2 linked regions of the Caenorhabditis elegans genome follow. The protein of the gene in region 1 purifies or fractionates together with the protein of each later gene. This does not show direct contact. Each region holds a gene or a part of one and is shown on either strand. Other genes may lie near its edges.

The links. The genes of interacting proteins can lie anywhere in the genome.
Region 2: the proteins of rpl-13A (region 1) and rps-15 fractionate together in Caenorhabditis elegans (co-fractionation; one large-scale study listed by BioGRID). This does not show direct contact.

The regions. Positions count from the first base shown.
Region 1 is NC_003281.10:3,499,265-3,507,896, forward strand, and holds rpl-13A (Large ribosomal subunit protein uL13), read right to left. Parts: upstream 4,341-8,632; 5' UTR 4,333-4,340; coding exon 4,074-4,332; intron 4,022-4,073; coding exon 3,869-4,021; intron 3,822-3,868; coding exon 3,625-3,821; 3' UTR 3,577-3,624; downstream 1-3,576. Other genes in the region: M01F1.8 (VWFD domain-containing protein), read right to left, coding at 213-346, 1,517-1,817, 2,609-2,803, 2,871-3,065, 3,111-3,272; lias-1 (Lipoyl synthase, mitochondrial), read right to left, coding at 4,515-4,843, 4,900-5,135, 5,180-5,481, 5,526-5,623, 5,673-5,772; M01F1.4 (Transmembrane protein 245), read right to left, coding at 6,515-6,646, 6,703-6,938, 6,989-7,089, 7,431-7,588, 7,642-7,764, 7,822-7,940, 7,997-8,153, 8,552-8,632.
Region 2 is NC_003279.8:8,815,072-8,817,866, forward strand, and holds rps-15 (Small ribosomal subunit protein uS19), read right to left. Parts: upstream 1,123-2,795; 5' UTR 1,115-1,122; coding exon 1,008-1,114; intron 933-1,007; coding exon 710-932; intron 655-709; coding exon 529-654; 3' UTR 501-528; downstream 1-500. Other genes in the region: F36A2.9 (Lipase_GDSL domain-containing protein), read left to right, coding at 1,910-2,178, 2,537-2,641, 2,686-2,795. UniProt on the Caenorhabditis elegans protein: Negatively regulates lifespan.

The DNA of each region.
Region 1 (8,632 bases):
TGAGAATCTGTAAAATAGACAAATATTGAAGCAGATACATAATCCAGAACTCAAATCTGATAATTTAGGAGAAAATAAGGAAATAATGGGAAAAAACACAAAAAAAAATAACAAAATTCAATTCATTTCGTACCCGAGGGGGATTTGAATACCGGTAAAATATACACGTGGGATGCGAAATAAAAAAAATAAATAATTTTAAAGATAAAATATTAAACATCGACTTCTCCTTCACGCATGACAGTCAATTCTTCGTGTATCTGATTGAGATATTTGATTTTCAGAGCTCCTTCGAAGCAAGGCTGCGAGAAAATGCAATTCGGATTGTTCTTACGGTAGGTGTTTGCTGAAAATTAAAGTATTTTATTGGAAACCGTTAATATTATGGGAACACGGTTCACTCTGAAATCGACGTTTAAAACGCGCTCCACTGCCAATTTCAAACGCTCCGCCTCTTACAGTTGGATCTCGTTAGGTATTTGGCGGCAAACCCGGGAGGCCCCACGAAAAGGGGAACTGAACGAAAAGGGGAAATTGGCACCGTGCCAACGCATAAAACGCACTTTTTCTCGAAGAAAACGGTACAACGATGCTCCGAAATTAAGCGTCGCGTGTTGTTAAGCGTATCTTCTAGAAGAAAAGTTCGAAAAAAGTCGTGCGTTGAATGAGAAAAAAAGCGTTTTATGCGTTGGCACGGTGCCAATTTTCCCTTTTCGCATTTCCCCTTTTCGTTCAGTTCCCGCTTTCGTGGGGCCTCAAACCCGGAAATTCGAGAGGCCCCACGGAAAGAGGATCTGCGAAAATGGGATCTACGAAAAGTGGAGTTAGCAAAAGGAGATCTGGCATTGTGCCAAACGCACAAAACGTATTTTTTCTCGAAGAGAACGATACAACGATGCTCCGATATTCCGCATCTCGCGTTGTTTAGCGAGTTTTCCAGAAGAAAAATTTCAAATATCAACGTGCGTTGCAGAAGAAAAATTGCATTTTTTTTTCAGATCTCCTTTTCGTTCACCTCATTTTTCGTGGGACCTCAAATTCAAGCGTTTTTAAGCATTTTTTTCGTCTTTTTTGCTTAATTTTCCGCGGGTTTTAATAAGTTTTATGCCGAAAATCGATAATTATTTGGACAAATAATATTTTTAAGCCATCATCTCGACTTCACGTGGAGTCAGAAAGTCCCATTACGCTTTGATCTTCCAAAAATGCGGGAGAAGATGCGCAGACATCTCATCCGATTTCGCATAATTAAGAGCGTGATGACGTCACAATTTTTCTGGAAAAATATTCCCGCATTTTTCGTAGATCAAACCGCAGTGAGACATTCTCACACCGCGTAGATTTAGAAATCATTGAAAACGGCTGAAAATGTAACAAAAAAGACAAAAAATGATTGAAAATCTTTGAATTTTCGCATTTTCCACCAAATACCCAACGAGACCCATCTGTTCGGGGCGGAGCGTTCATATTGAATTGGAAATTTTTCTGCGTCCCAATAATATTTCGAATTTCTAACCAAAGTTCCGGAATCTCGCCGCACAAGCCTCCTTTGAACTATCAAAATAGTCGAATCCATCGATTGGTGGTGGCTTCTGAGCTTGAAATGCACTTTTAACTGGTTGTGGAGTAACCGGTTTTCTCAAAGGTCTCTGTACAGTGACTGGAGTTGGAGTGGGGGCTATGTTCCAAGCGGAAGTAGACGGAACTTGGGGGTTTGGAGGAGCTAAAGGACGTTGTTGAAGGGGAGCTGGCGGACAAACTCCGGCTTTTGGAATTACTCGATAAGTTTGGCGGCCGTGAGCGTTGGGAACATCTATCTGAAAATAAATTAATTAGATATTTACCATAATACGGAATTTTTTCGACATATAACTACGTATTAGCTATAATTTGGCTCTTCTTCTGGCATTTTTTGAGGGTTTTCCAATTTTTTTTTCGATTGAACACCGCAGAAATTCTAGAAAATTACCTATTGCCTATCCATGTTTTTCCAACATTTTTCATTAAAAATTAGTGTGAAAAAATAGAAAATCCCTTGATTTTTCTGAAAATAACGTTGATTTTAGTTGAAAAATTTGAAAATGTACTATAAAATTACCTGGAAAGTGCAAATCAGTGATTTGCATCTTACAATTAATTTTGAAGCACATTTTCAAATGTTTCAACTGAAATCAACGTTTTTTTCAGATAAATCAAGTGAATTTCTATATTTTTACACTAGTTTTTAAAGAAAAATGTTGGGAAAATATGGTGCAATAGGAAATTTTTAGACTTTCCGAAAATAATGCTTCATAAAGTCGATTAAAGTTTGAAAATCCTCAAAAATTGCGAAAAAAGAGCCAAACTTTGAAAAAATCTGAAATTTCCGCAGCTTGAATATAGTTTTTTTTTGAATTATCACATATTTTGGCTGTTTATCAGTTATTTTAAGCAAATTGAATGCCCAGCGACTAAAAAAGCGCCTAAATCAGCGAAAAACTTCCCAAAAATGTTAAAAAAAAAGGGAAAATTCAATAAAACTGAATTCGAAAACGACTGCGAAAACGACAAGCTGACGAAATTTTAAATTTCAACAAAATTTTTGACGTTTTTCTCAAAATTTCAATACCGCAATATCATGATATTCATCAGTAGCCAACGCGGCTCTCCAACAGACTCCTCTCTCATTCGGCGCTTGCTCTCGTGCAACAAATTTGACACGTTGGCCCGGCTTAAACATTTCAGTCAACTTCTCAACGTCAGGACGAACAGTGGCTCGAGTCACGAATACATTGGTTGTCAAAGGCTTAGTATAGCCTGGAATCTGAATTTTGTAGTCTTAATAGTTAATTTCGTATTAAAATTGCTCGTTATTCCACGTTTCCACAAACCTTGGCAAGAGTTGGCGGATTTTTGGTATATTTCCAGTCAACGAACATATACTGAGCTTTATCATCGGGAATATTGATAACTGCACCCTCAGCAACCAACATTCGTCCTTGTTTGATAAATTTAAGCTCAGTGCCAACCCAAGCGAGTTCATAGTTTGCCATTTGTGATAGCTTATCGCCAACTTCAATATCTACCTGAAACATCGGGTTTTATTAAAGTTTTCCTGGAAATAAGCTTACAGTTGTAGCTTTTCTAGCATTGAATTGAACTATATCGTCATGTTTATATCCACGAGTGAGCAATTCCTTCTTAAAAAGAACACCTTTTCCATCATAGCGAACCATCATCATATCGTGTGAAACAGCGACGACGGAACCTTGCTTATGAAGGATTGTAGCCATTTTGTAGCTCTGATATTAATAAAAGATGATATTCAAAGAAGAGGCTCCACGAGAAGAGGATCGGCATAAAGTGGATCTAGCAGTGTTTTAATAAAAATATCTCTTAATTTTTTAGTAAAAATAGTGTTTTTTCGATTTTCCGTAAAATCTAAAATTAAAAACCTTCAGTTTCTCTGCCCTTAAATGTACTGGCAATTTCCAAATAAATTTCGTGGGACCTCTCGAAAACATGCAGTGAGACAGAAATATGAAACAAAGACTCTCAACAAGTAACCTGAATATGTTTTGAAAAAACAGTAGTGATATGGTCAACAATTTTATAATACCAAACAAAACAGATTTGTGCATGGATTTAATTGTATCCAAGAGCCTCGATGATCTTCTGGTATTGAGCGATCTTTGGGGCGGCATTCTTCTTTGCTTGAACGGCGAGCTTGTCCATCTTCTTTTTCTGTTCGAAGTAGGCGGCTCCCTTCACCTTTCTCTTAGCCTCGAGCTTGGCAACAACATCCTGGAATTGCCATCCGACCTCGTGCGATAAGCGTCCAACTGAAAATTAAATAATCGTTGTGATCAAAAAAATTATAATAACTCACCGACGCAGAACTTTCTTCTTGGTTGAAGTCGGAATCTGCTGGCTGATGGGGCATGGAGAGACTTGGTCTTCTGGTATTTGGCTGGAACTCCTTCGTAGGCGCGGAGGTTCTTGAGAGCCTCGTTTCCGCGGTTGGTCTTGTGTGGGAGCATTCCTGAATAGAGAATTTATTAATTTAAGTACAGATAATGTTTAAAATCACTCACCTCTGACGGTACGCCAGAAGATCTTTCCTGGAGCACGGTAATGGAAGGCTCCACGGGCTGGGTTGATGTTACAACGCTTGCGGAGGAAGCTCATGTACTTCAGCTTGGAACGGTGGAAGTTTCCGGAGATGACGATCTCTTCAGCTCTGAGGACGACAACCTTGTCTCCTTGGAGAAGCTTCTTTGCAACGATGGAAGCCAACCGACCGAGAAGGTGGTTCTTTCCGTCAATGATGATTGCTCTGTTCGACAGACCCATCGTTTACCCTGAAATAAATACTGATAAGAAGGGGAAAGTTTAGAAATACACGAGAGTAAAGGAAGAGAGATAAATCGAAGCGAGAGAACGCGCATAACAATAAATATATGAAAACTATTTCGAGAATTTATTTGGCAAGAATCCCGCACAAATTCTTCTAATATTTACATATTTCAGTAATCTTAATTTTGTCTATTTCTCAACACATTTTTCAAATAGAATTCTCCGGCTTTGTACGAAGAGCGAACAAGAGGGCCAGATGCAACGTAAAGGAATCCCAGTTTTTTCGAATATTCTGCCCACTGGTCGAATTTCTCGGGGGTCACCCATTCTTTGACAAGCAAATGACGTTTTGTCGGCTGCATGTATTGACCGAAAGTGACAACGTCAACATTGCTAGCTCGAAGATCGGCCAAGCACTGCTTTATCTCGTCTTCAGCTTCGCCCAGTCCTAGCATAATCGATGTCTTCGTGATTAGCTTTGGGCTGACTTCCTTTGCGTATCGAAGAGCTTAAAAAATATTCAATAATATTTACGAGATTCTGAAAAAAAAAAAAGCTGCTTACCGTCCAAAGACTGCCGATATTTAGCTCGTGGATCTCTGACCCATGGAGTCAGTCTTTCAACCGTTTCAATGTTATGTGCATATACATCGAGTCCACTGGTAGCCATTTTCTCCACACTGATCTTATCTCCAGCGAAATCGGGCAATAAGCATTCGATGAGAAGTTCAGGCTTCTTGAGCTTCATCAGCTGTACTGTCTTGCGAAGATGATCGGCTCCACCGTCTGGCAAATCATCCCTGAAAATTACTTTGATTAAAAGCTCAAGATACGAATAAGTTACCTGTCAACTGATGTTAAAACAATGTATTCGACACCCCATGAAGCAACGGCGGTCGACGTATTTTCCGGTTCCATAGGATCCAATGGTGGAGGAGCTCGAGCAGTTTTGACCGAACAGAATTTACAACCCCGAGTGCAGGTATCTCCCATCAACATGATTGTCGCTGTTGCTAGACTGTCATCTGATCCTCCCCAGCATTCTCCAAGATTTGGGCACCGTGCTTCCTGACAAACAGTCGCTAGTTTGAGATGTTTCAACTGCTTTTTTAGACGACTGACATTTTCGTTTTCCGATGGAAGAATCTGAAAACAATTGTGATGAGGGGCAAAAAATTGATAGGCTATACCTTTTCTTTCTTGAGCCATGGTGGAAGTCGCAAACGTCTGTCCCCTTTCTCCAGCTTCAGTTTTCCTTCGTACTTCTCAACAGCCTCTGCCACGGATGCTAAAATTAATAATTATTTGATTATGAAACAATATTGTTTGAGTTTTACCTGATGAAATAAAATCCTGAAGCGATGGTCCATCTTTGACGAGAACTTGCGGTTTTTTCTTTGTGGCTGCAAGTCCACGGACCCATACCCGAGCTAGCATGCTTAAACAATCTACCGGTAATAATTAAACTCCTTGTGTTGAAAATCAAGAGGGACCCCCTACAACTGAAATTCTGGTTGAGAAATAGACAAATTTGGATTTTGGGAACATTTTTCCACTTTTCCTACCTAGTTTCTGACAAATCTCGCAGAATAAGAACTACAATCGATAATTAGCACTATTAATCGTTTAAAAATTAAAAATTCAATCAATTTTATGCAAAAAATCGCGCAAAAACGTGAAAAATCAGGCGAAAATCGTGAAAAAATTTTAGGATAGCGGAAAAAGCCATGCGTTGAGGTTCGATGGGTCTCGCCACGATACGCAATCAGACGTGACGGTGTATGCACAGAAAAATCCACCGTAGTCCGCAAGGCCATTCGCAACATTTTTTTTCACTTCAACAATCAAATTTAACTCATTTTTCCAGCAGAATCTTGGGAATTTTCATAAAAACCTTAATAGTGAGGTCCCTTTTGACTTTTTACGTGGTTTATTCGTGATTTTGATCATAACTAGAGTTCTAAAAAGGATAAAACGCTTTTGAAACGGAAAAATAGTTTAAATTGGCTTTCACGTTACCATAATGAGCAAAATAAACAGAAATCCGAAAAAAAATACATGTTTATTATGAGACAAAAGTTCACCAGGAATGGCAAGAACCGAAATTTGTAAAATACAGGGGTCAAACAAACTAAAGGCAGTGTCTAAAGAATGCGAAAAATATTTTTGATTAATATAATCAATGATTATGCAGCTTCACATTTCGTGGAGACGGAGCTGGGGTGTACAGAGCTGTTGGCTTCACGTGCTGGAGATAAACGTTGACAAGTACGAGGCAAAGGCAGAGAACAATTGGTCCTATGATTGCGCCCTGAAAATATATTTAAATGAGGTACTTTTTTAGTAGAAGAAGTTAAATACACAAACCTGCAATCCCAACCAGTACATTCCACCAATGATAGCCAAACCGGTCACATATGGATGAGATCCCTTAACTTCCCGGTAAAAAGTAGCATCTGCGAACATTACAGGAGCAAATGAAGCGACTGTGAATACAAGAGCAGCTGCTCCTTCTCCTCGAACCAGCCAGAGTTCGACGATTCCGAAGATTGCGACGATGTAGGGAGGCATAATTGGAATAGCAGCGAATACTGTGGCAGCCACTGGAAAAATGGGACTTAGTAAAATTAATTAAATTTTAAAATCAACTCACTTGATGGAACAAATACAATGTTCAAATCGAAAAGACTGTGCACAAAATAAGTGTAGAGACCGTAGAAAACAGCCATTTTTGCAGAAAGAACGAATACTCCGCTGAAAAAAGGATTTTTTAATTAACTTTTAAATAATAATTCCCATTAAAATATAGAAAATGGGGCGAAACTACTCAAAATGTATGGATTTTTCAATTTTCCAACAAACCCGGGCAAAGTCATTACTTCATTTTTCCCATACAAATGGGACTATTTTTGCCGAATTTTCTGAAATTTTTCCCCAAAAACATGGAAAATAGGCCAATTTTGGAGGTTTTTCTACGGAAAATTCGATAAAACCCAGAGATTAACCTAAAATTTAATTATTTAAATTGTTCGTAAAAAAGCTATTTTTCAGGACTTTACAGTCGATTTTCTAAATTTTTAAGCCTAAAAACGTACAAAATCGCATGTTCTATCGCTACAGTAATATGATGCTGATTTCCTGCTGACGAGCCATCGGCTGTAGTGACTGCTGAGAGATCAGAAGCCCATTGAAGAGGAAGCCAGCGAGTACGAGAAGCCGAGAGAAGATAATATACCATTGTAAGGAAGACAATCTGAAATTCACTTTATATCGATTTTCAAATAATCTAGAGAAATTATTCAGTACCATCTCGATAAATGTGTTGAGCAAATCCATTCCAAAGCTTAAAATAATTCCGGCGAGAGAGACCAAAAGTGAAGAGAAGATTGACACATTTACGGCAAGAATTGCTCCAATAGATTGGGCGATCTGAAATTTTTTTAAAATTAAAATTAGTTTTTTTAATTGAGAAAAAAGCCTTCAAACCCCCATAAGAGTGTCCAAATTCTCCTTGACAATCAGTGTTAGCTCGTCTTTCAGTGCTGTCAAATCAGTGACCCCCTTCAATTGAGTCCAGACATCACCGCGTGGCTCCTGATTTACTGCTGGAACTTTTTTCCAAATTTTTTTATTTAATTAAAAAAATTTTGAAAAAACCCACCAACTGTGAAATTATTATTTCTCTCTTCCCACATATTGTAGAGTTTATCAACGACTTGCTTAACCTGCTCCTCGAGCATATCGGCTCTTTTTGTGTCTTTTGCGTTCGCCAGGGATCTCACATTGGAGGCCAACCAAGTACGGCCTTGTTCGTAAGCCTGAAAATTGCAAAATTATTGTTTTTTTGTTGGAAATGTCGATTTAAAAAATTATTTTTCGGAAAATTGATTTTTTTTACGAAAAAGTGATTTAATTCGGATATATGCATTTTACTTTAAAAATTGTTTTTAAATAAAAATAAGCTTTTTTTCCTGAAAAATTGATTTATTTTTGGAAAAAAAAATATTTTTTTAAATAACTTTTTACAGAAATTTTGTTTTCCGATGTATTCATATGTTCCTTTCAAAATAAGGAAAATTCGCTTTTTTCCAGAAAAATTGAATTTTTTAAATAAAAAAAAATATTTTAAAATTTTTTTTCTCGATTTTCTCTGCAAAAACAGCGAAAAAAAACTACTAAGAATTAAAAAACTCTAAGAATTAAAAAAAAACAGCACCTGCTGAACATAATCATCAATATCAATATTATTCTCTTCCAACTGATCCTCCGTATAATCCATCGCCGCGGCAAGCCAATC
Region 2 (2,795 bases), on another chromosome or scaffold:
CAAGTGGGAGACAGCGAAGTATGTGACGAGGAAACTTATTGCCACCAAGTCGAACATTTTTGATACCTTTCGGAGAAATAAGAACAAAATCTATCCATTTTTTCACTTAATGTTGATGAGAAAAAATGAGAAGCCGTTTTCTAAAATTATGGCCTTTTATTGCAATTCTGTGTTCGGACTATTCTGTTCATTAAAAGCAGCGTATTGCTGTGTAGAAGAATGGTAATCACGGTATTCAGATTGGTCGATGACATCCAGGGCCAGCAAGTTCTCGATATTCGTTTACTTTTATTAGGAATACAAAAGAAATTCAAAAAATTTGGGTGGTTATTTTTGTGATAGTGCGGGCTTCCGTAAAGGCATTCGCATCCAATATTCAACTGACCCTTTCAACTCGCGCGGACATTTCGACACATTCTAATATAAAATCATCACGTTTCTTCGAATTGATGTTATTCAACCGTGTATAAAAGACAGCAACATAATTTGATCAACTTTAGAAACAAGTTTATTGTTCAACAAATAACTTTACTTGAGTGGGATGAATCGGGAAGAGTGGGTAGCTCCAATACCTGGTCTTCCGTGCTTGACAGGCTTGTAGGAGATAGCGAACTCTCCGAGATAGAATCCGATCATCTCTGGCTTGATTTCGGTCTGTAACAAAATAATAATAATCATAATGTTTTCGCATTTATTGTAATCGACTCACCTGGTTGAAAACCTTTCCGTTGTAGATTCCGATGACTCCACCAACGAGCTCTGGAAGGATGATCATGTCTCGGAGATGGGTCTTAACGGTGGCTGGCTTCTCGAGAACACCAGCAGCCTTCTTGGCCTTTTGGACCTTAGCGATGAGAGCCAAGTGCTTTCTCTTGAGTCCGCGATCGAGACGTCTGCGCATGCGGCAGGGGAGAAGCTTGGTGAATTGTTCACTGGAAATAAATAATTGTTCTTGGAGATGACCAAAAACCAGACATTGCCGGCAAAATATTGTTTTAAAAAATTACCGGGACATGTCCAAAAGTTGGTCCAAGTCAACTCCTCTGTACATGAACTTGCGGAAAGTTCTCTTCTTCTTCAGCTCAGCGAGATGGGCATCATCTTGAGTAGCCATGTTTAACCCTGAAAAATCGATTACTTTTTTTGTTGCAATATATGGATATTGAAAAGAAAGTAAATAAACATATGGAAGAGAAGTGAAGAAAACTCGTCATGAATTATCAAAAAGAGCACTGACTTACATATCGTAAAATTTAATTAAATAAAATCTGAATTAATGCAACTTCCATTTTATACATTTTTACGATAATTTTTCCATTAGTTTCACATATTTCTCTACAGTAGGAAAAGAAAAATTAGTATTTCTATATTAAAAACAGGTATTAACACCAAAAAACCAGAAAAACCGTGAAAAAAATCGCGAAAAACGGAAAATTTTGTAAAAATTCTACTGACAACCGAAGCTCCGTATCGTTCATCATTGTTGAGTCGCTACTCAGCGCAGGTTGGCTGTTCGCCAGAATTCGGTGGAGCGCGGTTGCAATTCTTATATTTTTATCAATTTTTCGGGCCTGATAAACGGAAATTGGTGAAAAAAAAAGTTTTGGAGCTTCGTAATTTAATTTAAATAATGTTATTCTCAAAATAAAAAATGTATTCAACTGCTGAATACAAATTATTTTCATAAAATGAAGTTTCGACCAGAATTTATTCGACAATAATTAGTTATTTGAAATTCTTGTCGATTTAATTTTGTTTTTTAAGCATTGTTTTCAATTTCGAACTGCAAATAAAGCATAATAGAGTTTGGAGATCTATATTCTCTCCTTTTGACGATTCTACCTTTTAAATATCTTCTTCTTTAGCCTTATCGCAAGCACTATTTTGTCTTCACTTTAATTTTTTCAGAATGCGATTAAACCTACTTCTACTACTTCTATTTTATTTTGCACATGGATCTGTGGTTCCCAATGTAGACCAGAAAATTCTACGCGGGGAGTTCCATGACGAGGGAAAGTTTATGGTGGATTATGAGGATAATTCGCAAAATTTGACCGATTATGCGAGCCGAAGAAGCAGTGATGACGATAAAATAACTCCAGAAGAACAAAAAAGGCGTGGAAATGACAGTACAGAAGTTTCAGAAGATGATGATTCAAGTGATATAAGTGAAGAAAGGTGTGACCATTTAATTTAAAATCATTTTTTCTCACCGGCTTCTTGCGATTTACAAAATTTGGACAGTTCAGACTTATAAAAATGTGGGGAAAATCAGCCGATTATGACAAATTTTTCGACACTGCTACGTCATCACACGAAGATGAAGAAGGGTTTTCAATTTTTGAAATTAGAATGCTAAAACCGCATGGTCTGCTTCTCCCAATTTCAAACTATCCTATTTATTTTTGTTGAGTTACTTAATTTTTTAATCTTCTTTTCCATATTAGTTTCTTCCAATTAAACGCTTTTTGAATGAGGTCGAGTGATGGTCTTCCTGGAACTCTATGAAAAATGACAAAAACAATTATTATTTCAGAGAAAGAGACAGTGTGGATCATCAACATCTCAAATCTCTGACCGCCATCAAACCTGAAAAACATCAACCAGTGGCTGGTGTAATCAACTCTGCATTCAATGACAGGTTTATTTTTACTAATATATTGATAAAAATGAAGCTTTTTTCAGAAAGACATTCTCCTGTCCTCGTATCAAAACTGAACTTTTGACTGGAACGAATGTTGGAAACATATCTCCTGAAGATATAACAATCATTGCTGCAATGGGAGATGCTCTCG